Linked DNA regions of Arabidopsis thaliana. The protein of the gene in region 1 interacts with the protein of each later gene in a pairwise test. Each region holds a gene or a part of one and is shown on either strand. Other genes may lie near its edges. The genes, in order: KAN2 and ULT1.

Region 1 (16,903 bases):
AAGGGAGAAAAGTGATACAGTGACAGGACTGTGAAAGAGGGCACAATAAATGACAAAACCGATTGGGGGGGGAGTTTTGTCGTTGATTGGTCCCCACTGGTACTCGTGACAGTAACTTCGTTTTTTTGACCATTTGGTTAAGGTCCTACCTCCTTCCTCTTGACACGTCACTTCCTTCGCCACCGTCTGACATTTTTCTCAACACCTCTCTCTCTTTTTTTCTGGTCCCTTTTGACTCTTTTTCTAAGTATTGTTTTCGCTATTACTAAGATTATGTTTCGTTTATTGTTTCTTAATCTTAGCCAACCAAAAATTGACTACATTTCTATGTTTATATCATAGTAGTTTTTGTAATCATATTGAGGCTATAAATGGTTATATAGACCGCACCCAAAATCGTATCACAACAGTGTTGAAGCAGTGTCAAAATTTTTACATATACATATATATCTATATATTTTTGTTACTATTTGAACCGTACCGTACTTCTCCCACATCACAAAATGCAGTCACTATTCGGACCTTAATTTTCTTATATCGATTATTAAACTGAACATTCTTAAATCTTAACCAAACAAAAGTAGCTGATTTTATCCCTATTTTTCAAACCTAATAATTTATGTGATAAGGTTCAAGGGAATATTAAAAAGAAATAGTAATGTGGTAGTTTTTGTGTCTAGATTGAATATGCTGTTACTGATTTATATTCTTCAACCAAATTGTTACATATTTCTCTACTCGGTTGAATAGACTATAGTGGATTTAATACACTAGACAAGTTTTTTCTTTGTAATTTACATTTAAAATACAAGTAAAGAGAATGTATATGTATGGTTTAACAAAAACAATTATATATATTTATATATATGTGTGTCAGTGTGTGAATGTATAATTTATGTGTATGAGAGTATATTTTGGTGTGTTTGTAGGTATGTAATTTGGCTGTTTATTTAATACGGAAGGGAGAGAAAGAGGGAGGCGTTGGTTCCCGCGAGAATTTCGCCTTATTATCCGTTGTCCTCTTAGAGAATAATTTATTTTTGTTATATTTGTCTTCTCCACTTTTCTGCATTATTCTTTTCTTTTTCTCTTGTTTTTTTCTTTATACAAAAAAAACTCTACAGAAATTTTATACACCTACTAAACTATCATCAGTTCATTACATTAATTAAAGAAACAATGTCTCTACGTCAAATATTAGTAAATTGATTGACATTACTGAATTAATTTATTAATATTCTGCAAAAATTATATATACCATAGTTTCATGAAATCTTTTCACACATTGACGTTTGAATTAACGTTGATAGGACCCACAACACAGCTTCTTCCCATGCAAAAAGTTCCTCGAGCTACTCAATTAAACACTGCAAACTTCATGAAAATAGTCTCTTCCTTTGCTCTTTAATTTTCACTTTTTTTTGTTTTGTTTTACACTTCTTGGTTAAAAGTTTGTTTTTACATTTAGTTTCATAGTTCCTATCTTCTTCTACTGTATAGCATAAGATTATACATGTGTTGACAATAGATATAATGATACTGTACATGTAGGAAGAAAGTGTTCAAAAAATTCAAAATGCAAACTCATAATAGTCTTGTTTTTGTACTTTTTGGAATTACAGGCTATATATTGAAAAGAAAATAGAGAAAGGAATAAGAAAGAGATGTCTCTTGAAGGGTGAAAACAAGGAGCGTCAACTTTACTGGTCACTTTCTTGTTTATCAGTATAACACCTTTGCAACATTTGGCAATATCGGATCTGACGGCTGACAGAGCAGCAGAGAGCCAACAATCGAACCGTTATGATTACGACACGTGGATGAGTGAGTGTTTGTACGAAAGATCCAAAGTTGAAATGATAATGTAATGATGGTTTAATAATATATGCTTTTGACATTCTGTGGACTTCGTGCTCTTCTGTTCGTACGACAGTAAATAATTTCGACCAGTGTTTCAGTCTTTGCCTCAAACGCAGAGAAGAAAGAGAGAGAGTGACAGAAGCAAGCTCAAAATATAATTATACTATTACAATTTACATATATGAAAAATGTTTTATTTCTTTTAGCTTTTTAACAAAAATATATAGCTCATGTAACTATTACTTCATGTCAAGGGAAAAAAGAGTTTACTTAAATATACATAAATTTGGTTATCTCTAGCTATCAAAGGGAGATGATTTCGATTTTTAGGCAACATTGTTACTAGTCATTGAGTTGCTAAATATAATTGCAAACTTTCTTTTTTGACTCAAAAAGTATAATTTCAAACTTTAGTAGTACACTTTATTTTATGAAATTGTATGATTAAAGTGATAATAATTTAAGAGGAAAGTCAATAAATTTTGGGGTAGCCCAATGAGAAAGGACAGATGAAAGACTTTTAGCTAGGGAGAGAGAATAAGACCAATTGTTCTCTTTTTCCCATAATTCTCCTTCTGATTCTTATGGATCTACTAATTTGTGCCATCTCTCTTTATGTCATTAACATATGCATACATATTATCATAAGATGATTCATCATCTTAGCACCAAAAACTTTGAACGTTTATATACATGTAAAAGAAACTAATCAAAGTTTGTGTTGACTATATGATTAGCTAGTTTTTAGAATGTAAATCTATTGCAGCTTATATAAATATAAGTTTTGTTTGCAAAATAAGTATATGTGATAGCATTTAATAGTTTTGATGAGTGGGTGGGTGTATGTTGCAATTATTGGTGAATGATTACTACCTTTTGCATGCCTTTTATATTCTGTTTTGCTTTCGGAACTTGAAAACGATAATAATAATTTTAAATATATAATGTTTGGGATGTTTCACGTTGCACGTGACATGACAATGACACAAGGCCGTGTTTCAATTGTCAAATGCGACTACCCATACAATGTGAAGACAACCATACTTTCAATTGTCAAATTCTTAGTTATTTTCTTCAAGAATTTGAATGATTTTGAGTTTTCCAATCTATATTTTGGTTTATGAATAGTTCGTAGATCATTTGTCGAGTACATATTAGTTGCCCAATGATAGTTAAATCTTACATAGTAACTAAGGAAGTAAATGGTGTCCCAAAAATTTATTTTCGCCAAATTCATTTAGATAGAAGCTAAATTTTGTTGAATTCTATTAAATTCATCTAGATTTAAGAATTATAATAATACCAACTGATACGGAGATATATTCATGTCAATTCTATATACACAAAATATCATATAATAGATAATATTAGAATTCTTAAACATCGATCACATTTTAAAATGTCCCCCCAAAAAAAAATGTCATAAACATCGATCCGGCAAGAGGCCTTGGCACGGTGGAGTTTAGCTCAAATTTGATTATGACATTGTAAATTGTGTTTGCTTTTTTTTCACTGGCGATAGGTTTAGGTCATTCCGGTCAGCATTTGTAAGAGTTATCTTAAATTCTCACTTAAAGTTATTACTATGATCTTATGTACCGGCTACACCTTCACGAGAGCTTATTTAGACACGAACTCGATCGGGTTTGTCATAGGTTAGGTTAACCCAGTCCAAAGTTTTTCCTATTTTAAGCAAGTTTTTAGTCATTTTTAACCAAAGTTTTCCTCTCACCATGTTGCTTCTTGTTAGATCATTTATTTAAGTTGTGATTAATGGTAGTTTTGATTTGTTCACTCAAACTTTAAACCTTATGCATTTCATGCTTTGAAAATATTACTGAAAATGGTTAAATCAAACATTCATGAGCTTTACAAAACTAACTAATGAGAATTGATGATGATGTTTAGTACTGAACTAATTGGAGTTGTATTGCAATGCTCATTGATTATCTAATTGCAAATAAAATGTCTAATAATTATGTGATAACGGTTAGTACTATGTAAGTAGATTAATCATATTTGTGATATTGAGCTCTGATACAATCCTCACTTGGCCAAGTTTTCAAAACCTTTCTTTGATGACTTGTTCTCCGATCATCTATCAAATTTAAACTTAGTCTATCATTCGATCAGATTTCTCCTAGTTTGAAGTTCGATTCAATTATTATTTTCTCAGTCTATTCGATTAGCCCAAAACTTTTAAAAACAAATTAACCCAGTATTCGATCATTCTTTTGAACATGACTTAGTTGTCCTAACCAAACCAACCTGATATCTTTATTGCAGGATGCAAATGTTAAACATTTTCGGTCTAGTTGTATGAAAAACATAAATTTTCCATTTAATTTTGTTGAAAAGTGCTTTTTTACTCTTTTTAAAAAATAACAGAAACGCTCTTTACTCTTTGTAAATATTATTTTCTAATAAAATTTATATCAACCAAAATAATATTATTATCCAATTAACCTAGACTTAAATTAGTCATATATATTTTCGAATATCAGTGAGTGAAAAACATATAAGGAGCCCAAAATATAAAATATATAGGCACAAATCATCATCATTTTAGTTTTGTTTGAATATTTAACTATGGAATTTCTATTTCCAATTTTAGTATTTGTATCGAAATGATAAAATTACACATAGTAAACTTTATTTAGATAATGAAAACTTTGAAAACAAACGTCTACCGTCAATTCAAATCTAACACCATATCAATTTAGCAATTATTTTATCTCTATTTACTCAGCTAGGTGTTGGTCATTTTCACTGTCGCATATGGATGGCAATCGTCATGCTTAATATAATTATGTGTGCTCGAGGAAGACAAAATGCTGAGAATAGAGTGTTGACGACTAAGGAAACATCAAAAACCTAAGTGAAAGCAATGAACTAAATATTCTTTGGTGGGAATCTACCTTATACATTAGAATTATTCTATTTTTCTCTTTAATGTCTTTTACTTTTTCCCTATCATATATTCAATGAACTTTTGTGGTACGTCGTCCATATAGTATATTTCAAGAACAAGTCCCAAAATTTATACTTTGGACCTAAAAACATATACAAGATTTGTTTTACGAGAATAAAGAGATATGGTTTGCTTTATTGTATAAGTTAATTATCTTTTCGAAAAGCTTATGGTGATAGACAGTTCATATGCTTTCTACCTACTCTAAAACCTTAAGGCCAATCATAAAGGTAATCATTAATCATATATTATCTATCATTCACGTCCATTTCTTTTCTTAACAAAACTGATTAACATTTCTTTTTGTATAAAAAAAGTAGATATTCTTCTTACAACTTTACCCATTCCTTTAATATGTTTGCTTTCTTTCATTCATGTCCTCTTTTGTCATTCTTTCTTTTACACCTTTTTCTCTCTTTTCTTTTTTTCTTTCTACTTTTTTTTCTTTCTCTTTTACGTCTTTCCTTTTTCTCTATTATTATTCTTTATCTATATATATTTTTTTTTGGCAAATCTTTATCTATATTTATATATCTTTATTATCAGATTGTAAAATAAAAGTTCAACCAAAGAGTACTGAACATTTATTGTGCCTCTAATAGTTGATTCTTTCACTAGCTCTTCTCAATAGAGAAGGAAAAAGAACAGTGTGTGTCAAAGTTCCAAGACCAAGATAGGACATTAAGATTTTAAGCTAAAAAAAAAAAAAAACTTATTCAATTGATATGAATATCGAAACTAGTCAGTAGCCAAAATATAAGTTAATTGATACTAATTAATTACTACCTAGCTACAACAATAAATTTAGTGAGATCGACCCAGAGTAAACTCAAGATTTGGCTTGAAAGGGCTTGTTCCCGAGATGCTTGATGAGCTCATCTCTTCTGATGATATTCTCTCATAACTTGAGCACTTTCCATCTAGTTCCTTCTGTTGAAATTAAACCCCAAAAAGAAATCATTAACCAACTAGCTAAATTTTCTATTGTATAAATGGTTTGCATTTTTTTATATGTACTTGTATATGATATCAGCATGTGAATGTAAATAATTTATAAATAAAATATTAAGTGCAGAAATTCACGCAACATTAAGTAAGAGTGATCTCAACATTTAACTAGGGTTTAAGGTTGATATTGTATCATCCATAATTAAGACATTAGTTCTAATTAGATGTAAGCTTACCCTATTTATTGTCCTATGGACTAATGTTTGACATTGACACAAATATATATACATAATTATATTTCTTATTGTTCAATGGAAGCTGCCATGGTTTTGCTTTTGCCCATATTTGCTTATAAGCCAAACATAGATAACCGCACCTCACGGCTTAAGCTTTCACAAGTCACAATATATGCGTGTCAAAGGTCAAAACAAAAACTCATCCTGGTCAATGTCAATGAGATTAGTTTTTTTTTTTTTTTTTCGAATAGTGTCTAAATAGCGAAAATACCTTTTGCTTTTGAAAATTCCTAAAGCAAACTTTAATGAAAGCCCTTTTTGTGGCAGCCCTTTTTAGGATTTCGGGTGACTTAGCAATGAAATGATTTCGACAATGCATAACTAAATTGATAATAGTTCATATGCTACACACAAAACATATTCGCGTATATATAGTTATATTTGTAGAAAGGGATGTATCGTACCTCAGAAGGTAGCATAATTTCTGCAACATTATCGATTAACTTCCCATGCAAACGTGCTTCTCTGCAAAAGCAAACAAAAGTTTGTTATATGAGATATATTTATGATATCCGCTTTACATAAATGAATAAATGAAAATAAACTAACCAAAGAAATAAACAAAAAGAGGAAGAAAGTGAAAAGGAAGATAAGAAATTACAAGACGAAAGAAAACAAAGTGTTTTCCTTTTGGTAATAACAAAGTTATTTTTATCTCTGTCGACTGGCATGGCTGTTTGTTTAACGTAAGCAAAATTGATAACGATTTAATATTATAGTCTGACATATATATTACTTTATTTTAGTATAAAGTTGAGAAATCAATCTTTTCCTCCTGTCCATGTGTTTGCCCATTTGTTCATGTGTTAACCATTTTAAAAGAGCTTTAATTTACTTAAATATCTCTAGATAATTTGAAGTCTAAAGTAGTATATCTATTTTTGTTTTCGTTTTGTTATTGTTAAGTTAGGAAAATAAACTCACTTTATATATATACATTAGATTTATGCATACAAATTTTAGGATTTTACTAAGATTTTCATGTAATGAATCACTTTGGAAATTAGCTTTTTATTTGGGGAAAAGTTTCTTCCACTAATTCGACATATTCATAATATATATAAGTAAGATCATTATATATATATATATATATATATGTGTGTGTGTGTGTTGTTGTGACTGTGGAGAGAGAGCAACACATGATGATTAACCCATCATGTGTTTTGTCTCAACTCGGATCTATTGGGTTTGTGGCTGAGAAAGAGACAAAACAGGACTACAAAGCAGAAACATAAACATTACCCAGTTCTTAACTACGCTAATATAGATATAGAAGCATGCACATGCTTAGCGAGATTCCACATTCCATATAGTTAGTTATATATAGTAACGATGGAAAAATCATCTATATCTAGCTAGGGAAGTATGTATAGATAGACCGTACATATATGTACGTACCCGGAAGAATTGGTCCATAGACCATTTGATTTCTCTAGAGGATTCGTCAATTCCTCGCTATCTCTCGATTTTCTATTCATATCGAACATCCAGTCGTCTGAGTTATTATCTCCTGATGATCCATTTTCATAGACATCAGATTGTCCTGAATAACATTAAGAAGAAAGAAAAAAACAAATTAGGGTTCTATCAGAATCACATTTCAATTAATTATTAAATCATATATATCCAATAATTTGACCCATAAAGAATCTGAATTATTTCTCTAACACTAACCTGACGAAGCTGCTGCTTTGTCGGTTGTCTTCACTGTTCTGTACATCTGATATTATAAAAAAAAAATGTGCATCAATATATAATTAAGAAGAGACCAAAGTAAATGATAATTCGTCTAAATCCGTATATAAAGATTAGAGAGATGCATGTATCGAATTATATGGAAAAGGAAGAAGAGACCAAAGCAAGGAGACCATTGTACTGTTGTCTTCCGACACAGTTGAATAGTACCAACCAATTTTCAAAATAAGAAACATATATACACACACATTTTTATTCTATATATATAATTATATATGCACAGACACATTGGAAGATAAAAAAAAAAACGAGAAGAAAAATATAAAACTGTTCGGACACAGAAGCATTAATTGACATTATTAATGAAGTTTGCGATTTTCATGTACCCATGCATGAATTTATGTGTCTAACCATGGTTAAATTCTAGCCCATTCAACATATGGAGAAGTGGAACCATGGTTAAGTTAATAAACCCTCTCTCTCTCTCTCTCTCACTGTGACTCTGTGTAAGACCAAAACCATTTCATCATTGAGAAATGATGGTGTTTCTTGTACTCTCCCTTTCTGTCTATATTTATTATTATTAAAAAAAAATCCTACTACCTATATATTCATTTAAACTAAGAAATAATCCCTAATTAGATTGTCCTAAGATTTTGTGTTCTTATAGGCATATACAATATCTACATATACATTACAGAAACTATAATCAGGTAATCCTTAATAGATGATAAATATATAAAACATATGATTACGCAGAAACAAAGTCTAAATTTTGGTTTATAACCCAAGAAACAATGGATGATAAGAAACCAAAAGTACTAATGTTTTGATTGATATTCTTAGGAGATTTTTGTTTTTCTAATAATTAGCACAATCACTTACGTAATTTCCCCATCTCTCTATTTCTCTCTCTACCTTTCTATTCTATGTGTGTCAGTAATAGTAATATTGAGTAATTTTTGGTTTACTTGTAACAGGACAAGTTTATTCTTCCAAGACGAAATTTTTTTTTTAGACTTGCAAAAAGAAGACTGTCTATCGTCTATCTATGAGGACCATCAGATCTAACACGAAGAAACGAAGAAGAGGATTTTGAAAAATGTTTTTTTTTTTTTTTTTTTTTTTGTTGTATAAAATATGTATGGAATGTTTATATGCATTTTTCTTTTGTCTGTAACGCAACCAAGGAATGCATTATTGGTATGCAAAATTGGATTTAATTAAGATAAGAATAAAAAAAGGAAGGTTCAGAAGAAAACAAGATTCGATCTCTTCTGACTCGAGTGGAACTCTGATTTAAGGAAGTCACCGAGTCAAATGCATCGATACCCGAGAAGAAGATTATTATTATTAACTAATTACATACTTATTATGTACATTTATCTTTTTCTTCCCATCTAATTATGTACTTAATATGGATGAATTTGTAACAATACTGTTAATCAATTTACCTGTAAATGGGACTTAACATGAGCCAAGGTTAGATCTTTGACATCCATGAGCTCAAGAACTGATTTAGGTGTTGCTCCTAATTAGCAAGTGAATAAAACAAAAACATGTTTAGTTAAAAAGGGTAATTAAGAAATGGAAAAAAGAGATAAGCTTTAAGGTTAAAGGGACATACTTTCATGGCCACCGAGTAATTCAACGGCGTGAACGAACCGGGCATGAAGAGTGGTGGTCCATCGCATCCTAGGAGCTCTCATGCTTCGTTTAGCTGGGAATCTTGGCATGAATCTGGCTCTGTTTAGAGTCTGGTGATGATGATTGTGGTAATTAGGGTTACTAACGCTACTAGTATTAAAGCTATTGTTGTTTCCGGTTAGAGCCGGCGAGGAAGTGGAGGAAGAGGGTATTAGAGACGACGGGTCGAAAGGGAAACATGGCGGTGGCGGACGGTGAGGATGATGATGTGGAGGAGGGTTGTGGTAAAGTGGTATTCCTCTTATTGGTCTTAAGTGAGTATTAAGGTCGTGAGCAAGAAACCCTTGTAAGTGTTGTTGTTGCTGCTGTGTCGGAAATTGGAAAGAGGTCAAGATGTTAGAGCTGTTGCAATTAGGGAGAAGTTGTGGATGATGATGTTGTTGTTGTTGTTGATGATGAGAGATGTTAGAGAGCGAGAGGTCTTGGAATGGATGATTGATTGTTTTTGAGGTGGAATTAGAGACGAGAGAAGATGTTCTTGAATCAAGAGCTCTTCTCCAAAACCCTAAATCGAGTTCTTCATGATCTTCTTGATCTGTTGTTGATCTTCTTCTCTGCCATGTCGATGATGGTTTACTGTTTGGTGGACTTATTTGTAAGGATAAATCGGGCTGAGCAGGAAACAGCTCCATGAAAGAGACCTTTAACTTCTTCTTGAAGAGATTCTTCAGTCGGTTTCCACAGATGATGAACCCTAGTTCTTGTTTTCTTGAATTAGGACAAAGAAGATAAAAAGAGAAAGATATCCTTTTTTATTAAGGGTATAGGGAGGAAAATAGAAAAGGGTATTGAGGATTTGAGGAAGAGATTTCTGGGTTTTGTTGAGAATGTTGTTTATATTGTTTGAGGTTAAGAAGATTTTGCAAAGATTTTTGAGAGATATAGAGGGAGAGAGAAAATCAATGACAAGGTAGTATGTAGTGAATGGTTGTTTCTTTTGTGTGAAGTATATGTGAGAAAATGACACTTGAGTGTGTGTGAGAGAGAGGAGAGAGAAGGTGTTTGTGTGGACATGGGGGGCTAGAGGAACTTAGGTTAAGAAAGGGGGAAGAAAAGCAAAGGGATAAAGAAAATGAAAAGAGAAAAGAGAAAGAAATTGAAAATAAAAAAACAAAAGTGGTAAATGGTAAATAAGGCTTTCTTTTTTCTTTCTTTCTTTGCACTCTTTTGTTTTCTTTGGAGGAGAAAAGTAAATCCTTTATTTGTGTTTTCAAACCATTTTTATTGTTCTTTTCTTAGTCTACATTCCACCTTTTATTTTATCTTTTCACTCCCTTTTTTTTGTTTCTTCACTATAACCAATAAATTTGAATAAATGGAATTTTTAAAAATATATTGGTCTCATAATTAGTGGATTGCTTAAATTGAGGTTAGGCACTTCTATATGGTTTTCTGATTTTGTTCTAATCATTTCTTTAGCGATGGCCGTAAGAGGTTAAGCAAATTAGTGACCTACGAAGTTCTAAGAAAAGTCGAAATGTTCATTTTGTAATAAAGTGATTTTCATATGAAAATTCCTTCGAATGTCTTTTTCTAAACATAAATTAAGTAAAATATTCATCACATGAAGAAGAATAGAAAGGTGAAAACTTTGGAATGGTTTATCTTTAGCATCCCACACGCTCTCTATCCTTTGCTTTTAACTGAAACCCAAGGTTGATTTCTCCTTTTTATACACCCTATATTCATTCCAAAAAGAAGAATAAAATTTTAATAAAGGTTAAATCACAAATATTAAAAAGTAGGAACAAAGAAAAAGATGAAAAGTGAGAGTGAGAAAAAGGAAAAAAAGAGGAACAAAACAAAGTTTGCTTATTTTAGCTTGTATGACTCTCTTTCACATGATTATCACTTTTCTCTTCTCCCTATGTTTTTTTTCCTTGAATTATACCTTAATGATTAAAAACCCTTACCACATGTTTTTTGAATAATCTGTTTCCTCAGAGTGATGTTCAAATCAAGTCCAACATAAACTCTGCAACTGCTACAGTGAATATCTCAATGAACGATAGCGACCAATGTGAATTACTCGAGTACAATTAATAACTGATTCCAAAGTCTCATATATATATATATACGGTATAAACCAGTGTTTGAACCAATCCATTTATTACTAAATACTGCTGAATTGAAAATCTAAAATATTAATAATGTATGAAATAATTCAATTGATTTATTATTATGGTCATTTACCGAAACAAATATTATGTATTACACGTGTTTTATATTATTTACTTCAACACGTTATAATTGAAATTTTAATTTCTCATTAAAAAACTACCTAATATAAAAATAAATATAAATAAAAAGTAAAAAATAGAGTGAAGAAAGTCTCTCAAGTGAGAAACTATGAGAAACCTACGAAGACACTTGTTTATTCTCCATTGATCAAATTTTATTTTATAAGTAAAATCTATTTATATAACTAATATTTATTAAAATACTATTTTTTTTTTGAGAAATCCAAAGAGTATCTCACTGATGGAAATGCTTTTATAGAATATAGACGATTAAAAAAAAAATTGTTTGTTTGGTGTCACATTTGACAAAATGCATGCAAAACAATCAAACTATATACAAATGAAGTTTACATTCGAAACTTCAAATTAATTAGTAGAAATTTGTATCATGTTCATAAAACCAAATTTAATAGCATGTCATACAAAAAGGATTGAAACCTTCTAATTACAGCCAATATTGTTGTTCTTTGTCAAAAGGACAATCAAAATATTTAAAGAAAAAAGTCCAAACCCAATCAAATGCCTAATTTTAAACAATAGTAATTTAGCTATATTGATTTACAAAAAAGTATGAAGAAACCAATAATCACATCACTCACTACATGGAATAAAAGAGAGGTTCATTGAATAACAAAATTTGAATGCTTCAATATTTGATTGACTCTAAAATATTGTCGAAAAGTTATTTGAAGGATACCTGCAAATTTATTACTAGAGATTAAAATAAGGGATGTGTTCAGTTTAACCCATATATTAAATCATCGTGACATAATGGTTAGTAGTGCCGATGACTTAGGCATAGAGATCGGCAAGATACCTCCATAGGGAATAGAAATCTCCATAAGAAAACGACATTTGATCTTAATTTTCTTGAAATTCACAAAGATGTTTCTATAGCTGATTTTCATTTTGATTAATCAAAGCAATATTACTATAAGCATTCTACATTAATGACAAATTATTAAACTATTACTATTAGATTCTTGATTTTGGGTAGGGTTCCCAACAAACCCAAAAACCGGTGTACTTTTAATATCGAACCATATATGCATGTTTGATAGTTCATGTTATTTTATGAACCATGTTTAAATGAACTTTAGAGAGACATAAACCATGTTTAATAGTATTGATTTTATTTTAAAATTGGAATCAAATTTATTTTTTAAATAATGTCGCGAGTCTTATATATAAATAAAAGATTGTAGCTGCACTAATTATTTAGTCTGTTATGTGGTAAGTAGAGAGAGCTTAGAAATCTCACAACATTATTTAGTCTGTTATGTGGTAATTATTTAGTCTGTTATGTGGTTTTACTTACAAAATCGTTAGGCGAAAGCAAATAGAGAGAGCTTAGAAATCTCACAACATTAAATGTGGCAGAACCTCCCTCACTTTTAAAATTATGAAACATTAATGGCAGCAGCAACCATTACGGAGAATCAAATTCTTACAAAAATAATAAACTTTAGTAGTGCATGTGAAATTGCGAATATGTATATAGAGTCGTATTACATGAATATATAGGTAAGTTAGGTACGGATTTGGCTATTGAATAGTCAATGCGGCAATTAGAACTACGGTCTAATAAAACACACACATGCTTCGAGGATGTATATAACTAGATACTTGTCTAGAAAAGCACACATTATTTAAGTCTATTAACCTTGTGGCTCTTGTATGATGATAAATTTTTAAAATATAGAAAATAAATCTATACATACATATAAATATAATTTCTACATTTGAATACAAAACAATAAAAAATTTATAGGAGACCTTGGATATCAATCCAACTGTAATAAGTATGTAACCATCCCGTCGAAATCTTTAACAAAACATTAAGCTGGAGACGAACTTAAAATGGTGATCTCAAACACCATGACCAACAAAACATAGGTTATGACTTATGAGAAATACGATAGATGAATCACCTTTCTAAAAGATTATGTAGGGTTGGTTTTGAGCAAAGTTAGTGAAACATTTGTTTTGAGCGTCCAAAATATTCTAAAATCTACATCATCAAATTATTTGCAATCAGGCTTCCAAATTAATTAATTCTATAGTAAAAAGCTTCAAATTTTCCAAATCATTGGAAATAACGTCAACTGTTTTTACATTTGCCCCCAAAATTTCAGAGCCGTCCTGCAATTATGGAAGACAAACCACAATCTATGTCACATAGAACTTACCATACATCAAATTATGTATGCACATTAGGTTTTAGTTTATAAGTTAAACCACCAATGCTCAACTTTTGACCTTCTTGGAGCTTCAATCCTTTTCTGAAGCAATTTGACCCCTTTCATTTACACAGGAAACTCAGTATGGAGACAGGAATGTTTCTAACATCGAACATCCAAAATCACACTTTAATATTCTCTACATGCTAGAAGACCATAATTTTCATATTATTTGATTTCTAGTTTTTCTTTTTTTTTCTTTCAAATAACTAGGACACCACACATCTTGGGCTTTGTCACAGTTATGTCACAAGATGTGGTGTGTCCTATATATCAACAGAGCATTCAAGTGAGAGCCCTCTATCAAAATTTGTTTGGTGCTTAGATCAAGGGTTGTTATTGATGTATGAATGAACTCAAGGAATTAATTAAGTTAATGAATAAATATGATTCTAGTGAATTCTATGACAAGAGTTCCCGACGTGATAAGTGCTTCACATCGAAGCTCGAACATTTTAAAACTTACGGTGATGACAATTGACAATATCAAACAAACCATTATAGTTTGGGAAGTATAATTTTAAATATTCAATAGTCAATATACCATCATTTCACTATTTAAGCATATTTAGGATATTTCAATCACAACATTCGTTAATTCATTTTATACTTATATTTTGGTGGATTGTGAAAAAGCAAATAGCTTTTAAATAAAATTTCGATATATAAGTACCACTACCACTACGAACCATTCAAATTTTCATATTTTCAAATATTTGAATATGGAATAATAAAACAAACATACACTATTTTTATTTTCTAACTTCAACTCTCGACTGTTCATATCAAATTATTCCAATTCATTAGCTGTAATTAGATTAAATATTGAAAAAAACAATTTATATTCAACGTTTCCAATACATTGATCTTTTTTTCGCAAGTTCACATGATAAATATCAGTTTTTTGAATTTTCTAACAACGTACGTTGATATACACAAAGATTTTAGCCATGTAGATTTGAAAATATGATTACCAACAAATAAAGTAGACTATCATAGATAATTATAAAAAGTTTGATTGGTAAGAGTTACGAAAACTATTTTTCTTTTCTTTTCAAATATAAACCAGGTAACTTAGAGTGTGTTTACTAAGAATCATTTAAAGAAATATTTTTATCAACATTTTTTGGTACTTATAAAACAATAATACAACTCTGATATCTTCTATATACAACCTTCTATTTGTTTAACAAGTTTAACTGTTTAAGACTACCTCAACCACTATGCCACATATGTATGTAAATATATTTTATTTTTTCTTCGAATAAAGGAATTATCAAGATGGTTGTTAGGTAATACTATCTTATACAAAATAAAATAAAATAATTGATTTCATTCTTTGGTGTGATCATACCTCACAAAAAAAAAACATTCTGGTAATGTTCTTTGAATTTCAACCTTTATAGTACATTCAACAAAAGATTTTGTTCCCATTGAATGGTGGCTCTTTTCAGGTGGAATATTATTTTTCTTTAATTTTATTTATACAATTATAAATGTGCATTTTGAATTTTGGTATCCATTTAATAATATTTTAAGTAAATGAGAATATCTTTTCCCAAACATTATTCTTTGATTAGGTTAATCTGTCTACATCATGATACATATACCTCTCTTCTTCCCGCATAATTGTTTAGTAACTTAACTTTTGTTTCACATCAACACTTTTCTCACAATATTTTTTCACAAAGGACTTGTGATAAAAGGTTTAAAGAAAACCAACTTATAAAAACAAAACATAATTATTACCTAGATGAAAAAAAAAGTTAGGCATCGCTATCATTTTCCCCCCAAGAAAATTATAATCTACACAACTTTAACATAATATTGAAGTGCAAATATTCAATTCACTACTGATAAAACAAACTACACTACACAGGTTTTTTTCCAATTAGTAAAAACAATTCAGATATCATTTTCCTACTTTCGAAAATAAGAATTATTTAATTTCACATATTAAAATTATTTAACTAATTTTAATTTTAATTTAGTTCGTAGGAAAATCATAGGTACCAAAATAGTTGTAGAAAATTAGTAGGAGAGATTTGGTAGGATAATAGTAGAAAATATTCTCTTATGAATCTTTTGGTAAGAACATGGTGAAAAAATACCTTTCATTTTTCTACAAAAATTTTTACGAGATTTTCTACGAAAAGTTTTAGTAGGAGATTTTCTACGAAATTTCTATCAATATTGATTTCCTAAGAAATATTTTTTATAAATTATTTTCGTAGAAAAACGGTAGAAAAATATGTTTTCTATGAATTTTATACGATTTTGGCCGTAGAAAAACTTGTTTTTTTAATAAAAGATGTTTAAGATATTTTAGTAGAGATATCTCATGATATTTGCAGCTATAAAGGTAAACGTAAGTGATAAAATTTTGAAACAAAAAAATTACAAAATTGAAATAATTAAGTTAACAAATATATATAGTAAAAATGTATTAGTTTCTAATAATTATTATGTAATTTTATTATGGTAGTTTTCTATGTAAAGTCAAACCATTAATTTTTTGAAATCATTGTTGATTTGGAAAACCAAATGGAAGAAAATAATTAGAAAACAAGTTAGTCAAAAATTACAAATATGTAATGTTATACATGAATTGTTAAAACATAATGTATTATTATAACTTATAACTTATAAGTTATATATAGAGTTACCATCAGGAATTTCTTTCTTACAACACGTTATCGATTTTTTTGTTCTTTGTTTATGTTTTGATATATAATAGTGATTACTAGGATCAATTATGGGATCGTCACAAAAAACTTTGTGTCATTGTCTCCCATATCATTTTTCAATATTCTCATAGGATTAGGTACTTTTTTCTCATTTGAATGACCATTTTACCCCTTTTCTCTCTCTTTTGTCTCCATTTTCACTATTGTTACAGATAAGATGCAACACTCCAAGCAAGCCATGATCTTCATTTTCCTTTAA
Region 2 (14,315 bases), on another chromosome or scaffold:
AACACAATGTGGGTTTATAAACTTTTTCAAAAGAAAGGCCTCATAGGACAAGAGAGAGGAGAAGAAGATGAGCTTTCTGATGAAAACTGATGAGAACTATCCAAATCATCCCAAAGAGGACTTTCAGGACCCCATCCCGATGTAATGGCATTGTACCATGCCTCAGCCATACCTTCCTCTCTCCCAACATCAATCACCGGTAGTTCCTTGCTCTCCAAGTTAACCTCGCTTGGCTGTGGCGTTTCAGGTTCTTTCTGATCCGACGAGTTTGAATCATGCAGCTCGCTTTCCTTATTCACAAAATGCTCCGGGAAATTCAGTGTTGCGCTGTGGCCTCGTAATTTGAAGGCTTGGCGGTCGTAGGCCATGGCAGCTTCTTCAGCTGTATCAAAGGTACCAAGCCAAAGACGTGCCCTGCTTCGTGGCTTACGGATCTCTGCGACCCATTTTCCCCATTGACGTTGTCTCACTCCTCTGTACAGCTTCGTTGCGATGTAAGGTTGAACAGCTTCTTGGCTCATCATCATCATCATTCTTCCTCTTGGACTCAGATTCAATGTGTCACTCCAGTACTGGGCCATATACTGCTGCTGCTGTTGTTGTTGTTGAGGACTAAAGGAGATCATTTGCTTCTGGCCTTGCATTGTCGGGTCTTGTCGTTGCTCAAGTACCGGAACGTATGATCCGAGTTGTTGTTGCTGATTCTGAAGTGTTGGATCGAGAGAAAAAGGGAAAGCCTCTAACGAATAAGGAGAAGAAGAGGATTGGAAATAGGGTTTAGGACGACTAGGACTCTTCATTTTCTTCATAGATCTTGGGGACGTGGAAGAAGCTTCTCCTCCAAAAGAATGATCAACATTTTTACCTTTCGTAATACAAAGATTTAGCTCCTCGTCAAAGTCCATCTTTGCTTCACTGATGCCTTAAAGACGTGGCAGTTCACGATTTGCCAAAACAGAGAGCAATGGAAGAATTTGAGAGGAGAGAGCTAGGAAAACAGAGAAAATTATGTCTTGTTTTGTTCTTATTTGGTAAGAGAGAGACGACTCTACATGGGTTTATATATGAGGGCAAGAATTAGATATTTATTTTTTTCAACGAAAGATTTTGCTAACCGCTTTTGTAATTTGTATGTCCCATCTATCTATTGACGACTATTCAAAACTATCTTTTTGGGGTTATTCCTTTGCTTTTACTCCAATTCATTGGCCAATAAGAAAGTTAAGAAAATGAGCATTTGAAAAATAGAGAGATATTGACACATAAAAACACAACGCGCAGAGATGAAAACATTAACGTCCGTACGAATACGTGGCATTCTCTGTTTTTTTGGACGGTGAAGGCATTCATTAGTTCATATCCTTCAACTTTATTTAGTTATTTTCCAAGCTTTAATTTTCGTAAGGCGACACCACTTACAAAGTTAAAAGATAAGATTAGACTGTAAAAAACATCTATAATTTAAGAGGTTTATGCAAATTGAATGGAGACAAAAAAAAATGATGTTGGTGTAATGGTCGGCTAGCCGCGGCAAAGGATAATATCCCATAACCATAAGAATGACCATTTTGATGACAACCAAACGTAGTACTAATTATAGTTTCAATCTTCCGGGTCGGTGATTGGTCAAACTCAGCTTTCGCTTTTTTTTAAGATATTTTTGCTTATTATTATTCCCACCTCCCCTCAAAAAGATACTCAACTCACAAGACCGACCAAGTTTGAAAAATTCACAACTAGAGGAATTTCATTTCTCAGACAAAATCATTCTTTTTTGGTAACTAAATCTCAACATATTATCTCACGTGCATATCGACTATGCGTGATGTTATTCTTCATATCTTCTATTTATTGTGAGGAATAAACATAGTCTATAAAGATTTCAGGTGGAAAATCCAAACTAATTGTTGGAATTTACAGTTTTATTTATTTATCAACTTACAGTTTTTATGTAACTTTTTCTAGTGGCAAAAAAGAAGATGGGTGCAGAAGAAAATCTACTAAAATCTCTATAAGAGTATTATTCTTAAGAAAATTCGTGAATATTAAGGCACACATTTATTCTTTTTATTTTATGAGTTAATATTGTTGTGTATAATACTATAATGTGATAATGTTTAGAAACAGTATAGTTTTTTTGGTGTAATTTTAGTTAGGGGTGAGCATAAAAAAGACGAACCAACTTTATTTTGGGCCAATGATCCAATTTATCAAATTTGGACAAAAGTCGAAAGAAGCCTAAAACATGATCCAATTTTAAGAGGTATCTTCAGAAACAATCTAAAACACCATAAATAATTCCTAGTAAGTACATAATATCAGAATATTATATTAGAGGCTAAGAAACTAAATTTGAGATAATTGTAACATAAATATATCTAAATATCATGTAGAAAGTTCTAGAGATTTTTGTGATAATCTTTTATGTAAATCAATATATATCTCTGTATATATCTTCTTCTTTTTTGTTATGAAATTTAGAAAATTGTTAAAAAGAGAAGGATACCAAAATCAAGAGAACGTGCGTTTGTACAAACAGAAAGCCACAAAACATTAGAAAAGAATAAATGTATTGAGCCCATCATCATCAATCTGACCCCAAACTAAATTTATGATATAAAAGTCTTGTGAAGAAAAAGTCAGTACCTATCCTTCCCAAAGAGTCCCAAGTAACAACAATCCAACATTATTGATATGTGCTACTCTTAAACAACAAAGCTAAATAGACTGTTAACCAAGTAATGATCTAAAACACTACATATATCAAAGATAATGAGTAGTAGTGGTGAAGTAGGTGAAGTCATGGTGGTGGACCCTTAGCTGCTTTAGCCAAGAATCTGCTACGCTCAAAAAGCAAAGCAATCTATCATTATCCCATAGCCTCCCTTGCATCTTGTAAGTGGCCATCCCAAATGCACTCACACTTATCCTCTCCTTCTCCTCTTCCCTTTTTACATCTGTTCCAATGCCAAGGGACTTTAGAAATGGGGAATGAATGTACTAATACATTAATACACACTTCCAAGAGGAAAGTGAAAATGCACCTTGGAAAGATGAAGAAAGCGTGTGGTAAGTGAGGAAGCAAGTAGACAAGTCTTTTATGCTTCTATTCATGGGAATGTGATAGATTGGATACCTACACATACAATCAAACATCGTCACCATTTTACTACATTAACCTTAACTTTGTTTTCTGAAACAAGAAAAAGAAGAAAAGGCAGACCAAGCAACAGCCATCCAACTCGCAGGAGACAGATCAACACTCCTCAATGACCTCAACCCTACGTATCTTTCTCCCAACTCTTTGATCTGAAAGTAGACAGAGACTTATGGAATCATAAAACAATGAAAGAAAGTGCTTCTGGAATCAAACTCCAAGAATGGGGAACAAACCTTATCCATGAGAGGGACTCTAGAGTAAGGTGTACATCTCTCGAAATACTGCAAGTAAGAGTAACCGAGGCGATCGAGAGGTTCTTGATGATCAAACCCTTCTTCAGACGAAGAACATCCTTCCCATCTCCACTCCTCGCTACACGACTCGCTCCCTGAATCCCCTGATTCTGTCTCCTCCCTAAATCATCATTCATCGCAGCGACATGTTAGATTGTTGAATATATGCTTGTGTTTATGAAAATGGCAGCATAATGATCATTACCTAAGAGTATTGATAACAGAATGAGAGGTGAAAATCTGGATTGCAGAGAGGTAAGGAACATAGTATTGGACCAATGTTTCGCCCGTTTCCGATACAATGGGGACACCTGCACCGTAAGCACTCCACTCGTCGAAACAATCCCAAAAATCTCCCAACCTGAAATACTCGACGCTCTGGCTCTCCAACGGATACCATAGAGGATTAAGGTTCTTGATCTGTGTCTGCCAAAAAACACACAGTTTCAGATCCTAAATTCAGAGAATTGTTTTAAGAAAAAGAAAAAGGCGTAAACCTTTGGGAGGGAATAGGCAGGCACAATCGGTGTAGTGCAGCGTAAGAATCGGTCTAGGTTAGATTCACTGTCAAAAACCATCATTATCCAACAAAGAACCAAACTTCGACCCAGAAAAAAAAAAAAAAGAGAGAGGAGAGAGTATTGCGGGATTCTCTTTCCCTGACGTTTCAAAGAGCTTAGTTTTCGGACAAAAGTGTTAGCTTTATTAGACGAGCATTTGAGACTTTCACGGCAATGTCAGAAACAGGGAAAGATTGAACGAAAAGGGACAAACTTTTTAAAGAAAACTCCAACGGAACTCTGTTTTGAGCAATGAGAAAAAAAACAAGTAAAATTGTATCTACTTTGAGATAAAAGAAAGTAAGGAAATAGGTTTATATAATCAACCAAACTCCATGAGACCCATTCTTCTAAGGCAGGAGATTATTGGTAGATTCACCTGTCTTTCTCACAACTCTCCACCTTCTCCATTTATTTTCATTTTCATTTAATAAAATATAGTTTCGTTTCTCTAACTTTGTCGGATGAGATTGAGTTTTGTTTGTTTGGGTTTAGTATAAAACGTTATGGCTTCTTAATATCTTCATTTTGCATAGTTCGTGAACAACACAACAAAACAGAGCTATTATTCCTAAGTCTTAGATGATGACATCTCCCAATACAAAGTCTCCTTCTTTTGGATACATCTTGAAAGAAGAGAAACTAGGTCGATCACATATAACAAGATTTCAAGAGAAACTGGGTCAATGACTTTTTTGTTTACATATTATAATTCATATGGTTTAAAAGAATCATTAACATAAAAGGACATGTGTGACAGGATCAGTCGGCAATGTTGTAATCCAAGTTAAACTAAATATCTACTATAGAAGTTTGACACATTCAAATAGTACGACGACATGGGGATAATAAAAGTACGGAAACACTCTTTGACTTTTATGGATTTCTTACAAATTTCTATCAGACAACTGTAGAATATGCCGCTAGTCACGTAAATGTAATTATTAAAACATTATCAAAAGATTGATCGGAGAAGAAAACTCAAGAAATGGTCAAATATGTTTTACCAACTTCGTAAAGAATAAAGAGAAAGTAAAAGAAATCAAACTCTTTCAAAGTGGAAGCCGTCGTCTCTCGCTGACTTCTTCTTCATCGGTTTTTCTGTTACTTGTATGTGAAGCCAAATAAACCTGCAGAATTCACGGTTTGAATATGAGAAGAAAGTAGGATTTTAAATAATAAAAGAAAAGTGAGAGAGAAGACAAAGACCTCGTTGCACAAAAGCCCATCACAACCAAAATTACTAATTAGACATGTGTGGCAAATGTTATGACTGATCATCATGCAATAATTCACCGCCAATACCATAGATGCTACCAGACTTTGTAGGCTCTCTCTCTTTAGTAAATAAAGCACTTTGTTTATGTTCGTTTAATGTACCCATAATTAGCTTTAACTATTTCACTCTACTCTATATATTACACACACTATCTCTTCCATCTTCCCTCCACAAACCACACATTCAAGCTCTTACCTTTTATCCTCAACTAACACAACAATGGCTTATACTCTGCAAAATCTGACAGCCACAATTGTTCTGGTAAGCCTGATTCTTGGATGTACAGAGGAAGTAACCGGAATGCGTTACATTCCCATTTCCCCCACTCCCAGTGAGAGCAAACATTCAGACTTTCCTGTAAACATGGTGCCTCAACCATCTAGTCTCATTCCTGGTTTTGGAAGGTTCTTGCTACCTCCCACACCTAAGCTGCCATTCCTTCCTTACAAAGATCCCCTTGCTGTTGCCCCAGCCACTTCAAATGGAACTCCTAGTAATAAAGCCCGCAGTCCGAGTTCAGGAGAAGATGAAGTTCCACCAGTGCCACAACCATGACCTGTCAACAAATAAGCTTTTGCTAGATGCAGAAGGGTATTCAATTCTGGTTCACATAACAAGTATACTAGTCATTTCATCATAGTCATATATCTTCATGATCTCTCTCTATATATACTTAAGAGGATATTGAATAAATTCCAGAGCTTTTGCTTACATACTATCTAAAAATAATATTTCCAAATAAAATGTAATGACTCACATTGCTGCAAATGTATTGAGTCACAAAAGAGTAGAAATATGTAGAAACTCTTCAATTGAATCATTATTGCCATGATTGAGTCAAAAGAGAAACTCTCTTTACAAAGTCTGAAATTTTGTCAAGATATGTAAAATCTCAAAGTTTCAAAGTAATCTCAGCATTAGCATTTAGCATTAACAAAACCAACGACAACTACGATGTATTAACAAATCAAATTTGGAAACTTCTAAAACAATGCGATGATAATGGACAAAGAGATGTCTTGGAAAAGTCTATTGGAATTGAAGTTTCTGTCTATCCATAGCGAATTGGAAAAAACGATCACCATGACCAAAAACCAAATCGATGAAGGTTCGTTCAAACACCCAATACCTTGAAGATGATATAACAAAGAAAGCAGAAAAATATAAAGAGGAAAAGATAATCAACGAACACGAAGAAGTTCGTGGATCCATGGTTTCGGTTTTTCATCTTCGTCTTCTTCTTGTCCTCTGACTCGTCCTCATCAATGGGTTCAATCTTCGCCATTGTAGTCCCCGTGACCAATACGCCGATCAAGTTTTCGCGGGATTCCGAGATTGCTCTTCTTCTCCGATCGATTCGTCGTTCGTGTTTTTTCCCTCTGAGATACTATTATAACTTGAGCAAGGTAGGCCCATTTTGGGACCATAGGCCCAATAAAGAGAAAAGCCCAAACTACGTACGTAATGTTGACTAGTCAACTAAAAGTGGGAACTTGGGCAATGAAACGATCTTTTTCTACATCTTGTTCCTCTGTTTCACAAGTCTCTTTCCAGTTACAAATGAGCAGCCACGACCATAGAAGGTTTGGAACGGCGGGTCCTTTAGCTGCGGACGAAGAAGGTCAAGGACGTTTTGAGAGCTCGGTGAATGCGGTGCCATTTGGTTTGGTTGCGACCGGAGTTTTGATTGCTATCTTCCTCTTAATTGCTTTTTTTGAGAGGTTCATGTTCGTTAAACCAACTCCATCACCACCTCTCGACCAAAAGTTTCCTCCTTTTGCTTCCCCCAAGGTTCATAACATCTCCTCTCTATTTGCTTTTATATTTTTGCCTACGTTTTTTGTTCTGTTGTTTTTTTACTTAGTCTTTTAACTCAAGTGAACATTCTGATTCACTTGGAATTTGCATCTAAATGAGGTTGTGATCATCAAACATTTGTGATTCATAACTATGCTTGTTTTTGTTGGGTGGTGAGATTAAGATGAAATAAACCTGCCAATGCGTATAAGTTATTAAGTTTAATGAAGTCTATCGGTCAGGATCATGATTTACCAGGGTTTATGCTAGAGGAAGCTCTTTTGTCGTATCTTTGAAAAATGGTGCAAAGTCCAAAACAGGATTACATTAAATGTATTATTTTATGGGGATACAAAACCCCTTGATTCATGCAACGAGGTTTGAATATAAGCAGAGTAGAAAATAAGATATGTTTAGAGGAATTCACTACCTATTTGTCGACACACTAGTTGTCTTTTGTGAGATGATGATGTCATGTATAATCTTGTGTTGTTTATTTGCAGATGGATGTGTGTAAAAGAGAGATATCGGTGTTGATGCCTGGAGAAGATGTCCCAACGTTCATTGCTCAGCCATGTCCTCCCTCATCATCATCAAGCTCTTTCTGAAACCTTCTTTCATCTCATTAAGTAGGACTTTTTATCAGACAAGTGTTTATGTAGTCAAGTGTTGTTAAACAGAACAGTGTTTCTCTGTTTGTGTCTGCTTATCCCATAGCAAAAGAGCAGCAATCTCCATAAAATAAAAAGCCATGGAATTTGTGAGCGTTGTTGCGTAGGCTTGCCTTTTACTTTACGAGTCCACAATAAACAAACCAAAAACGAAGATCCGCATAAGATTTGGTTAATAATTATACATTCCGCAATTTACAAATCAAAAAAAGGGAAAGAAAAAAAACAATCAATCACATCAGAGTTAATAATGATGAAAGGAGAAGAGATCATCAGAGAAAGATGAAGCATTCCATGGACACTTCAGGGTCTCTCACAGCTGTTACATCTTCTTCCTTCTTTACCTCAGCAGTTACTTTCTCCGTTTCTTCTTCCTTCTTCTTCACCTCTGTTGCTCCGTCTTTCTCCGGAGCTCCTACTCGTTTCTTCATGGGGCTTCTTCTTGCAGAACTCGGGGCACGAGTGGCTGGAGACTGTGAGCGACGCCTCGGATTATCCGATAACCCGCTCCGTGGGAGTGGACCCGAATCCACATTTCGCCGGTTGTGAGTAGGGTTTGGTTGACGAGACTGTCTCTCTCGGACTAACCTAGGACGGAGCTGCTTCCCCTGAGGAGAATGTCGTTCTGCCGGAGATCTGAGGACTCTGTCAGGCCTGTTACGGCGAGAGGTGGAAGAAGAAGGAGGAGGAGGACGGTGAGGTTTGCTGAGAGCATCGTCTTCGAGGATGGACGCAGCGGTAGCAGTTGTGGCAGTGGAGTAGCTGTGAGAGACAGAGACGCTGCAAATGTCGGACTTGCTGTGAGAGATCTCCGGAGCTGGAGGTGAGAGAGGAAGAGGAACTTGAGCTTCTGAATCTGAGACTGTTGGTGCGGAAGGAACGAGGTCGGGGACTGGGACAGGGACGGAGATGGGTATGGGGACGGAGACAGAGACTGATTGAACAACGACTTCTTTGACGGATTCTTCTTCGAGGGGTGGAGGAATTTGAGCGGCGGCGACTGGTGGAGCTGTGACTTTTCCGGCGCTGAAGCAGCATCCCATTTTCTTTCTACTTTTGCTAATTCCTCTCTCTCTCTCACTCTGCTCTCTCGAGAGTCGCGAGTCATATACTTGTCAACTTTAATGGGCCTCTTTCTCATGTTGGCCCATATTCACTATGGGCTCGATTATGCTCTTTTGTTTTATCCACTTTGATAAAGAATCTGATATTTGTCTCATTCATTCATATCTTCAAAGACAAAACGCTAGTGTTTGATTTTCTTTAAAATATTCAAAAGAAAATTATGCGGATGGACAAATATCTCGTTAGATAGCGACCCATCATCGTTGGGATAATTTCAACACACAACTGCCGATTGCCTTGGACAGGGACACCGGACATGTAACGACAGTAAGTAAAATGCTTAATACTTATACTACCAACATCTTCCTTTTGGTCGTCAAAAATGTAGTTGAAGATAAGAACTGACCATCATTTTTTAGCTCATCATCCATCCACTATGTTGCATTTACCTCATTGTTGAATAAGAACGCGTTGAGCAAGCTACTTTTTCATCTTTAGTTGGTTTTGTGTTAAATAAAACTTGAAGTGGAAAGAACCTAACATCGTTGCTGCAAACTTGATATTCGAATATTTATAACCACCATCTTAAAAACAAAAACAAAATATGAGAAGTTTAAAAACATGACAAAACTTTGAGTAGAAATCAGAAAGGGGCCAAGGCTCGTAAACTTCTAAACCCCAAGCCCATAATAAATGTTTTGAATCCATAAGTTCACTCCCATCCGCTACTCTTTTTTTCAGTTTCTTGGGAACAACTAGGAGGAAAGAGAGTTTTTAAAGTTCAAAGTAAAGATGTTGTTATACAAAAATTGTGTTGACAACTTATTCATATTCATGTCTCTGTAAAGATGTTGACATAATTATTTCACTTTCTTCAAAAAAAAAAACTGGCGACATTTTCTTTAATTCTCATTTATCCATTATGTACTTTTTGTTTTTGTTTTGCAACCCATCCATTGTGTATGTACTTAAGATAACAACAACAACAAATATACCATATATAAATCATATGGTCTACATACAACACTAGTATCCTCATCCGTATTAAAAAAATGAGTTCCTCGAACACATATAGCTACAAATATAGAGATATGACTTTGGGGTTTGAGCGCATTGCAGAATACCTAACAGGCATAGATGTCAATGACGTCGTCGTCATGTACTTGGTTACTAGTTGTTTTATAGACAACTAGTTGATTAAACCTTTTCTTTTAACAATTAAACAAACCAACCTTTATATATTTCTTCAACTTTTATTTTATATAAAAAAATAGCCAATAGGTGTGGTGGTGAAATGACTCGGTAACCAATGAATCCTGGTGAAAGGGAAGAGCCAAGAATTTGCAGAACCTCAAAGGAAAAAAAAAGGACCTTTGAAAATTACAAAATCAAGAACTTCTTGAAAAGAAGTAAGTACAAGAAATAGAAAAAGGAGTTATGACATTATAAAACCAAAGAGGAACCTGAAACAATTGACACAACCCTATTCCTCAACTTCTTCTCTCTTATGTCTTATCAAAAGCCTCTCACCCACCGCCTCTGTTCCTGCTCCTCTTATCAACCATAGAAATTCTCTCTCTCTTCCCTATATACAATACAATGTTATGTAGGTGATACATACTATAACATAGTTGTATATAAACATTAATATAATGGAGAGGTCCCATGCCCCCACGAGTTTTGTTTTGTTGGCCAGCTAATTCGCATCCTTTTTGTTTTGTTTGTATAAGAGAGTTTCTTTGTTACTTACTATAACCACAAGACCACAAGAAGGCCAAAGAGAGGCTAAACTAAAAGAGCTCTCTTTCTAATTTATTTCTCTCTCTTCTCTTCTCCCGAAAAGCCCTTAATAAGCTTTTGCTTTGATATCAGATCTCTCTTACGGCTTTTGAGATGCGTGCTCCTTTAGGGCTTTCCTTTTATACCCCAAAACGAGGCCTTTCCTTCTTCTCTCATCTCCTAATTCTACCCTCTTCCTCTTCCTCTTCCTTCTCTCTCTCTTCTCATTCTCCTCATACGCTATAAGGAGAAAATCTCAGAGAGAGAGTGATGGCGAACAATGAGGGAGAGATGCAATGTGGGTCCATGTTGTTTAAGCAAGAGGAGCTACAAGAGATGAGTGGGGTCAATGTTGGTGGCGATTACGTTGAGGTCATGTGTGGTTGTACCAGTCACCGATACGGCGATGCTGTTGCTAGACTTAGGGTTTTCCCCACCGGTGACCTTGAAATCACCTGCGAATGCACACCTGGTTGCGATGAAGGTCTCTCTTTTTTTGTCTCTACTGTCTCTTTCTCGTGTCTTTCTGATGCTTTTGGGAAAATGGGTTTTGATTTGTGTGCATGTTACATGTGAATGTGTGTGAGATTAAACGTTTGTCTCTGTCTAGCTACTATCACATTGGGCTGGTAAAGCTAGGGTCTTTAGCATGATTACATATTTATCAATGAGTCTTAGTGTATGCTAGCTAGATCCGTTCTTGTAGAAAATGAAATGACTTGATTTGCCACAGTAATGTTTTAGGCTGTCTGTTTATCTGTAAATGGTAATGCGTCTCTTTGTTACTGGCCAAGTGGTAGCTTTATTGACAAATGATATGTCTCGCTTAGCTGTACGTGTATGTCAAAGTTTGATGCAACCTAGTTCTTGTGGTATCTTGTAGCTAACAATTCCATCTCTAGCTTATTTGGTATAGATGCTCATTTAGAGCTCTCTTTGAAAGTAAAAGTGACTGACTTGAACAGTTTTGATTGTATGATGCTAGACAAGTTGACACCAGCTGCATTCGAGAAGCATTCTGGAAGAGAAACGGCAAGGAAGTGGAAAAACAATGTGTGGGTTATCATTGGGGGCGAAAAGGTTCCATTGTCAAAGACAGTATTGCTCAAGTACTACAATGAATCATCAAAGAAGTGCAGTAGATCAAACAGATCACAAGGTGCCAAAGTTTGCCATAGAGATGAGTTTGTTGGGTGTAACGATTGTGGTAAAGAGAGGAGGTTCAGGCTGAGGAGCAGAGACGAATGCCGCTTGCACCACAATGCAATGGGTGATCCAAACTGGAAATGCTCAGATTTCCCATACGACAAGTAGGTGTCTTTTGTTGTCCTTGTATGTACTTAAGTTTGATGCAAATGATGTATTATATCAATGAATGGTGTGGTGGTCGTAGGATAACATGTGAGGAGGAAGAAGAGAGAGGGAGCAGGAAGGTGTACAGAGGGTGCACACGTTCACCTAGTTGCAAAGGCTGCACTTCCTGCGTCTGTTTTGGCTGCGAGTTATGCCGTTTCTCTGAGTGTACTTGCCAGACTTGTGTCGACTTCACCAGCAATGTCAAAGCTTGAAGAAGGCAGTCCATTAAGAAAAGAAAAAAAAATGTCTGTCTCAGACTTTGTTCGTTGCATTTAATAACTTATTCTAAAACTCCAAACAGTTAATTATCTTATCTATGGGTTGTGAATGGAGCAATTGAAAAAAAAGTAGAAAAAGTTGATTTCCAAGAAGAACATGCAGACGAGCATGCCTGAGTTTAGTGCATGTCTAGATTTTTGGCTAGTGGCAGGGAAAAGTGTTATTAATAGTTTGTTGTTACTCTTTATTTTATTAGCTGTTGACAGCTTTGTGAGACGAAGTTGTCAATGGCACAGCTACTCGGTCTGTGATTTAGCCATTTAGGAGATGGGACATGGAAAGAGACATTTTCTTAATACCCAAAAAGCCCTGACGTCTTGTTTTGAACACAGTAACCATATGGGATCCCTTAAGTGATGTATACTTTTATTATCAACAACAAACATTAGAATCATAAAGACCAAGTCGTCACCAGGTAAAGAGGATACGAGAATAAATTCATCAGAAACATGTGAAACATGTGAAACGTGAAACCAAAGACGTAGAGGCATGTATGAACTTCAACATGTTTTTGTATCAAAAAAGTGTTTTAGAGTATAACTAGACTCATAAAGTAGTACATCGACTCCTGTTCTGTTACAACCAAAATTCATATCTTAAGGATCACATAACTGAAACCTGCATCCACAAATACGAGGCAAACATAGTGTTTCCTTCATCATACATACTAGACTACCTATAAATCAGAGATCAAACTATGAAATCCGCGGATTCATTCAGAGTCTTTCTCGCACGCCAATACACTCCATTGGCTGTCTCTGATGTTCCCAGCTGCAATAAACATCAGAAAGATTGTCAGTTAGCATACTTGACACTAAGTCATAGTATTGGTTTTGGTCAGGGTATTAAGAATCCACTTTACCTTTGTCTCCAATGAGTAGTAATTCTTCCACAGCTCCACGTCTTGACCGTAACTTGCAACAGCAGAATCATACAGCTTCCGGGCATTACTGAGACCATCTTTATCACCTACTGATATGAGGTTGGTCTCTATTTCAATGCAACCTTTGTATAGAACAAGACTGGGACCAGGAAGAGCCAAGAACCTGCAGTTTTACGGTAACAGTGGTGAGAATAAAGTCCATGTGTGACTCAAGGGACTGGAGGAGTAGTGACTCACCTCTTGTATATCTTCCTCGCACTGTGGGCCCCTTTTGTTTCAAGAACAAATTTCACCACTGTGGAAGCAAGAGAAAACACATGGTCGCTCCCATGGCTTTTGGTTGCTGATAGGATGGACATCTCTACAAGTTTGTCCAAATAAGTTCGCTGATGAGCAAAGAAATTAAAAGCCTGCAATACAATAAGCATTTTATTAGTGTAGTCTTAACAAACTAGTGTATTGTCTAGAAAATATATTAGTCACATACCATTAGCCACAAGCTCTCAGATTCTGAGATCGGTACTTTCCTCAAAGCATTTGAAAGGAGCTCAAAGACTGTCTGAAAATCTGCTTTACTAGGAGATGAGTTCTCTGAAAGTGATCTTATTTCAATGGAAACTCTTGAAAGCCACAACTTAGCTGATCCAGCAAATTTTTCAGAGCAGAGCTTTTCTGCTAGCTTCTGAGCTTCATGAGTCTTTTCCAGTTTCAAGTACAGAGAAACATATTCATCAGCAAGCTCTTCAGTCAAACAGCCAGTTTCATCAGCCTTTTGGTACACGTTTATGATATGTGAAATGATCGGATTAGACAAAGAGGAGATTTCATTCTCGTCGCCGTTTGACTGTACAATAGCCTCCATCAGAAAATTTATATAAATCTCAAACATAGAACTTGACGTAACAGTTTGCAAGCCTTCTTCAAAAACCTGCATTCAGGGGACAAGATTTAAGACCTATCAGATATTGTACTTTCTAGTTTCTACTACTAAGCCGAAACAGATTGTGGTAAAGCAAGTTAGTATAGTCCTAAAGAAAAGCCCCCCCATAACCAATGTTCCACCTGTCCTCTCCGACATTATTAAACTAGGCAATTTGACTTCAGGTTCAAACCAAAAAGAGTGAGCGTAAAATCAAGACTAAAGATTTGATCTATGTTAAGGAAATGCAGCACAACTATGGCCGCCACATTCT

The links.
Region 2: the proteins of KAN2 (region 1) and ULT1 interact in a two-hybrid assay, tested with the Arabidopsis thaliana proteins (one study listed by BioGRID).

Annotation. Positions count from the first base shown.
Region 1 is NC_003070.9:11,620,247-11,637,149, forward strand, and holds KAN2 (Homeodomain-like superfamily protein), read right to left. Parts: upstream 10,500-16,903; 5' UTR 10,110-10,499; coding exon 9,398-10,109; intron 9,328-9,397; exon of another isoform or gene 9,302-9,327; coding exon 9,225-9,301; intron 7,796-9,224; coding exon 7,750-7,795; intron 7,619-7,749; coding exon 7,474-7,618; intron 6,541-7,473; coding exon 6,480-6,540; coding exon of another isoform or gene 6,420-6,479; exon of another isoform or gene 5,762-6,419; coding exon 5,636-5,761; 3' UTR 5,370-5,635; downstream 1-5,369. UniProt on the Arabidopsis thaliana protein: Probable transcription factor that regulates lateral organ polarity. Promotes abaxial cell fate during lateral organd formation. Functions with KAN1 in the specification of polarity of the ovule outer integument.
Region 2 is NC_003075.7:13,974,879-13,989,193, forward strand, and holds ULT1 (Developmental regulator, ULTRAPETALA), read left to right. Parts: upstream 1-10,144; 5' UTR 10,145-10,874; coding exon 10,875-11,161; intron 11,162-11,569; coding exon 11,570-11,914; intron 11,915-11,997; coding exon 11,998-12,172; 3' UTR 12,173-12,564; downstream 12,565-14,315. Other genes in the region: AT4G28140 (Integrase-type DNA-binding superfamily protein), read right to left, coding at 27-905; AT4G28150 (hypothetical protein (DUF789)), read right to left, coding at 2,764-2,957, 3,045-3,136, 3,224-3,309, 3,394-3,574, 3,659-3,879, 3,951-4,034; AT4G28160 (hydroxyproline-rich glycoprotein family protein), read left to right, coding at 5,512-5,847; AT4G28170 (uncharacterized protein), read left to right, coding at 6,757-7,083, 7,593-7,697; AT4G28180 (uncharacterized protein), read right to left, coding at 8,033-8,803; AT4G28200 (U3 small nucleolar RNA-associated-like protein), read right to left, coding at 12,930-13,010, 13,102-13,285, 13,360-13,532, 13,610-14,050. UniProt on the Arabidopsis thaliana protein: Putative transcription factor that acts as a key negative regulator of cell accumulation in shoot and floral meristems. Negatively regulates the size of the WUSCHEL (WUS)-expressing organizing center in inflorescence meristems.